Linked DNA regions of Mus musculus. The protein of the gene in region 2 interacts with the protein of the main gene of each other region in a biochemical or structural test. Links are inferred from orthologs where the notes say so. Each region holds a gene or a part of one and is shown on either strand. Other genes may lie near its edges. The genes, in order: Sstr5 and Gopc.

Region 1 (2,786 bases), on a different chromosome or scaffold from region 2:
CGTTCTGAGCGCCTCCGCCGTGAGGAGCCCACACGCATACCTGCAGCCTTCACCTTCACTACGATGAGCAAATAGCACAAGCAGATGACCAGCAGGGGCCCAAAGAAGCCCAGCACAGACGTGTAAGTGATGAAGGCTGCACCCCACAGTCCCACAGGCTCTGGCCAGCTCAGGTTGCAGGTGCCCCAGCCCTCCTGGACATCCGCAAAGACCAAGAGCGGCAGAGACATGAGCAGCGAGAAGACCCAGACGGCAGCACTAGCCAGCTTGGCTACCCGTGGGCGACGCCACCGGGCTGAGCGGAGAGGGTGGACCACGGCCAGGTAGCGGTCGACACTCATGACCATCAGGCAGAAGATACTGGTGAACTGGTTGATGCCGTCCAGCGTCATGACCAGGCGGCACAAGAAGGAGCCAAAGGGCCAGTAGGAGACAGCATTCTGCGTTGCCAGGAAAGGAAGCCCCAACATAAACAACACGTCAGCCACGGCCAGGTTCAGGATATACACGTTAGTAACTGTCTTCATCTTGGCGTACCGCAACACCACATAGATGACCAGTGTGTTTCCACCCAGTCCCACGGTGCATACCAACAAGTAGAGCACAGGCACTAATACCGCCCGGGCTCCCATGGGTGACACCGGGTCCACTAGTGACCAGTTATGGCTACTGCTGGAAGCAGCTGAGGCATTCCAGCTAGGTGTGGAAGTCAAAGAGAGGGGCTCCATGCTGTCAGGTTCAGGATGCCAGAGCACATGTATCTCTGCAAGAGAAGAGGGTGTCACTAGTGGGCACATTCAGGCATTTCTTCCTCCTGTCGTCCCCAGCCCGCCTGCCAGACGGTGATGGGTAAAAACACCTTTAGTCATGTTCAACTTGACCAGGAATCACATTAAGCAAATTGTTTGGAAAACAAGCTAGAGAGGAAGAAGAAGCCACTGCGGGGACAGGAGGATGGGTGGCTCCAGGAGCCCAGAAGGCCATTATCTGTTGACACTGACACTACAGGGGCTGCCCTGGGACCCACAACCCACGACTTCCCTGGCTTGGCTTCTGTTCTGCTATCCAGCACTCTCTCCAAAACCTCTCAGAGCCCTGAGGGCAGCATTTCAGGAGTGATGTGAGCTCAGAAGATATCACCTCCCCAGGGGTCCCCAAATTATGAGGAGAAGTAGCTGATAGAGAAGGAAGAGGGAGAGATGCCATAGCTGTGGTGAGCCCACTATACCCAATACATGGAGCATCCCAGATCTGTTCTGCTAGTAAGTTCAAGGCTGAACTCTCTCTGGGGCAGGGCCTTCCCTCCTGGAGAGTGTAGGGAATGCTAACCCCAGTAGACAGTTTCTACCCACTGCAGAGTCCGAGGCTCTCAGAAGCAGCAATGACTCTAAAGGTCCCCATATGACATAGTGGCTGGCCCACTTCTCATCCCTGAAGAGACTGGGTTGATGTGCCTGTCCAGGGCAAAGGTCTGTCTCCTGCTCAGCAATGGCAGACATCCTTAAGCCCCAGGCTTAGTGCATAGTACGCAACTGGAAGGTGCCTACAGCAGGGAGGCAAACACATGGAGCAGAAATAACAGCCAATGGGAAGACACTAGGCTGTGGGCATAGCATAGGAGGGGGCACACAGCCCATGGGAAGCAGAGTTGGAACACTGGGCAGGTGCGTGGGCTTTGTGGAGAAGATAGAGAGGCAGGTGTGGGAGGACAGCCTGACAGATGAGTGGCAGGTGCCCACACTTGTGCCCTTGCTTTGTGGTTCTTTGTGCTTGAAGTCTTTCATAAAAACAAAGATGCCCAGGAGGAAATAAATGCCTCCATCACTTGGGAAGAAGGAGAGGGGCAGGGCTGGTCCCTATGGTGGAACCATCATGGAACTGAAGTGTTGGAAGGCCACAGGCCAGGAACAGGCCGTGGAGAGGCAGGAGTCCTCGGCTGAGCCAGGCTGCCCTCAGGAACGCAGGCCTGCTCAGCTGATCTGCAGTGGCCTGAGCCATAGCACACATGAGACACTTCAGTAGCTGTCAGGGCAGGACCTAGTCCTGGGGTGACCAGGATCAAGCAGAAACAACCACCATCTGATGAACAAGGAAAGGCAGGCCAGAGAGAGGGATCCTAGAGTCAGCAGCAGCAGCAAGGAAATGAAGCCAATGAACCAGCGTTCCCAAGACCGCAAGGTGCGTGGATGCTAAGGAGATGACCTGGAAAGCCAAGGGGCAAGTGGCTGGCAGCGGACTAGCCAGGAAAGGGTGAAGCAAAATAAGTTAACTAGCACGCCATGGGCATGTTTCAGTAAGTGCAAGATCTTTGAGTAAAGTATGGATAAAATATTACGAGGAGTGAGGGGTAAAGAGAACAATTCCCACCCCTCCCCACACAAACCTTCAAGTGACAGACTTTGGGCATGAAAAGTGCAGTCATTTAGTGCTGGGAGAGGCGGCTTATCTGGTAAGAGTGCAGATTGTTCTTGCAGAGGACCCAATTTTGATTCCCAGCACTTAGGCAGCTCACAACTGCCCGTAACTCTAGCTCCAGGGGATCTGATACCTCTGGCTGCCATGAACATCTGTATTTACATGTACACAACCACACATAATCAAAAATAAAACAAAAAAAATCTTTTAAAAAACGAAAAATAGGGTCATTTAAATAAATAACTAAGAAAAAGGAAGCCCACAAAACCCACGACTAATTCTAATCTAGATATCTGATAGTGTGGAGGAGAGAATTGGTGAGGTAGACTACACGGAGGGATGTTGAGAAGATGCATACATGGAAGAGACAG
Region 2 (3,829 bases):
GAGTTTCTTCCATCTGCTAAGTTTAAAACAGACTATCGATCCCAGAGTTGTTTTGACAGTTCCTAACTACCAGATTTCTAACTAATTCAGATGAAACAGTTAAGCCTAAACAATTCCTACCCAATCTATGATACTCTACCCCAGCAGCTGGATTCAGTCTTTGGGTATTTCATGACACAATGATACAAGTCACAGGAGCTACTCAGAACCCATAATAAACCAAAATATTTAATGTGAATGAAAGAGAAAACATTTATTTTCCTTCAAATCTGATCAATACTGCTTTAATGTAGAATATGTCATTTTTATTTACAGGCTAATTAAGAATATGAAACTCAACTAGATATAATACAATTATCATAAATCCCCTTATATGTAAATTAATATATTTTTTGTTTTAAAATATGAAAACAACATAAGCCCCTTGCTGTGGGGTCTATTCCAGCACCATGGACAGGTTATGTTATTTGTAATTGTTTAATTCTAATCAACAGACTTGCAAGCTCTTCATCTCTCTCAAATTTAATTTAACAATAATCCCTAACCCGAATACGTCACTTTCATCATGTTCAGAACAGAAAACTGCAGAAGACAATTTCACACAATAAGTGTGAGTATGTCCACGCACACACCTCTCATGCTCTACACGTTTTCATTGTAATGGCTTTGCAACAGCTTTCCCCCCATTTTTTGGCTTTGTTCAAGAAGAGTCAGTGTTATATGGGCATCTTTCCTATGAACATGAACTATAAAGACTACTTTTCACTTAGTGCTTTGGGACCACACACTCTGAAGTGAACTCTCCAGTGGGCCTGGGAGAGTACCAGGATGCTCTCAGAGCAGGTTTCACGCCACAGCACTCTCCTATGCTTCCAAACCAGAAAGCAGAGATGGAAAGACGGACCTGTAGAACCATAAACTACTCTTTCTAAATATATTCTGTACCCATCTCACACAATCCCTCCTAGGCAGCACATGAAAATGCTCATCCAAGTTTTGCTTTCACATCTGCTGTGAAGTTCTTGAAAAAATTCAAAGGGTTATATAGCTTACATTTCCTAGCGATTCAATCATAGTATATAAGGCATATAATCTATGAATAAAAAGGAAAATAAAATGGCCCTGGTCCTTCCCAGGCAATGCTGAAAGGATATAGGAGCAGCATGGTTTCAGGTCAAAGCAAAAATATTTCAGATCTGTTACCATGAACATTTTTTCCTTAAATGAATACAATGGCTACCACCTACTTTGAAGGTCTCAAGTCATGCACTGGGGTATGTGTTTGGTGTGGGAGGAATACTTGAGGAAAAAACAATCTTTCTTTTAAGAGGTCTAGCCTATCAGGAGCAAACAGTAATATGTAACGTGTTTATTCATTTGTACAGTTAAAATACTAACCTTGTTTACAGGCAATGTTACACTACAAGGTATCTCAGCATCACTAACAATATACATACGAAGTGCACTTTCAGTTACCAGTTAACATGGTGATACTATGAAGAACGAAACCACCCAGAGACCATAAATGAGCAACAGTTAAAAAGAAAATTTATAAATAGCAAAATCACAAAATAAAGTATATACATTTTATAGATTTTAACTTTGAACAAATATATAATGCATCTGGGAAAAACAAGCATACCAAGAAAGAAGATACTGATATTGTAAAAGCCCGATATATGTAGGCTTCTCCCACATAAGATTCCCTTAGGTGTAAATCCTTTAAAACAGTGACTTAGCAAAAATCACACCTCTTTAAGTACAGTATTTTCAGTTTGCCCGGCAGGCAGGGTGCAATTGTCTGTAGGTCAGGAAAGAAGGGAGCAGGCACTCTGTACTTAGTTCTGATACAATAGAACTAATACATTTACAGAGTTTGCACACGAGTATTGCTTTAGTCAAACATATACTGATATAAAAACCAATATGCTCACTGTACCAAAATGTCTTTACCTCATCTTGCCTACCTTGGCCCCCGGCTTTTTAAATGACTGGCAAGTCAGGTACTTAAAGCCAACTGCTGTTTGAACACAATGTATTTCATGACATAGTAATGTTCCTGACTATCACAAGACAAAGCTTGGGAACAGCTCAAAAATGTATAAAGCTGTTTTTCGTGGATTCCAGACAATTAACATTTGGGACTAAACATTAACAGTGTAATGCTCCAATACCATGCACACAGATCAACATAATTGAAAACAGGCCATTTTCCACTTGTCTGCGTTTCCTTTAAAAGTCCAAAGTCAAATGCACAGTAACTTTTCCCAAACTATTCCTAGAGCAGCATTGATTGATACAGGATTGCCTAAAGAAAACCGTTTTGTACTGCAGTTGAGTTACCTGGAGAGTGAACTCATCATAATGATTTAAGATAGTAATTAATTTAGATATCAGGAATGTACAAGATACTTTTTAAAAAAAACCTGAAACAAAATTTTCAATTAAGCAAAAATGTCAACCTAGATTTTTGCAATTCACTGAGTAAAGTTCTGTCATCTGAAATTCCGCAGTTATCCTTAGGGAATATATGGTATCATTTACTCTGCTGTATTTAAAGGGTACTTAGAGAATTCCAGTTAGCACTGTCCTGTTATACATGAAAAGGAGCCAAATGAAATAGCATCCACTTGGCCTGTAAGAGCCTAGTAAAACCCCTTTGGGAAACACATGCTTTGGTGCTTAGATTCCAGGAAAATCAAAACTGCCTTCCATGCAATAGCTAATTAAGGTATACCACAGAAAACAGGGGTTTATGCACTTAGAATTGTTCACATGAAGCCCTGAGGTTCCCGCCTTTCTCTAGGCAACACACAGCCTCCCTGATCTTGTGCAGTCTTTGTCACCGTCTTCTCTAGTGCCCCACACTCCACGAGTCTGACAAGCAGCGTGTCTGGGTTAGTAGGCCTTCTTCTGATGCAGGCTGTGCAGATGAGCCGCTCTCGCAGCAGTGTCATCCAGAGGGCTCTCACCTGCAGCCCCCACGTCCCCATTCTCATGCGCATCCCTCACTGCCTTCTTGTTATACCCTGGGAGACAAGAGCACAAAATACACCGTGTATTTCTGGCCAAAAATATGTCTAAGTTTTACAGTTTTACTAAGAAACAATGTTCAATGAAATTATTAGCAGCAATATAAGGCAAGCTAACCCTGATCAAATCAATAGTGCTTATGGGAATTCTTTCATCTTATAGCAGATAGGAAACATCATATACATTTTTAAAGTATTAACTATTGAAGCTACCTGAAAGTTGTGAAATAAATGCAATCCAGTTTTCTAAAAAACTTAGGGTTGACATACTAACTTATAAAAACCCAATTGTATTTATACAATTATTTACTGAAATACAAATATTTTGCTTCTATATAATTTAACTTCAATTCATTGAAATATATGCTAGTTGACTGCTAAACAATCTGTTGGCAAGATAATGTTTAGCTAGATATTAAAATAAATTTTGGTTAATTTACCTAACATATAATGGGGTTTTAAGTAAATATGACTGACTGAAAACCCCACTAAGAAGGTTAGAAAGATCTGTATTAAACAATAATCAACAGATAGATTTTACCTCAACACTTGAGAGGCTAAGGCAGGAAGATCCTGTGTTCAAAGACAGCATGGTCTACACAATGAGTTCCCGGCCAGCCTAGAAGTCGGAGGAAGATCTAAAACCTACCAAAGGTAAAGTTTTCATTATCTGACGCACTTAATAGTAATATGCTGTATGGCATGCATTTTGGCTGAGTCATATTTCTTTTTTTTGTTGTTGTTTATTTTCGAGACAGAGTTTCTCTGTGTAGCCCTGGCTGTCCTGGAACTCACTC

The links.
Region 1: the proteins of Gopc (region 2) and Sstr5 form a complex in vitro, tested with the Homo sapiens proteins (2 studies listed by BioGRID and IntAct, with this or other methods). The link is inferred for Mus musculus from reciprocal best matches to the Homo sapiens genes GOPC and SSTR5.

The regions. Positions count from the first base shown.
Region 1 is NC_000083.6:25,491,526-25,494,311, forward strand, and holds part of Sstr5 (somatostatin receptor type 5), read right to left. Parts: intron 764-2,786; 5' UTR 729-763; coding exon 1-728.
Region 2 is NC_000076.6:52,336,825-52,340,653, forward strand, and holds the end of Gopc (Golgi-associated PDZ and coiled-coil motif-containing protein), read right to left. Parts: intron 3,030-3,829; coding exon 2,899-3,029; 3' UTR 200-2,898; downstream 1-199.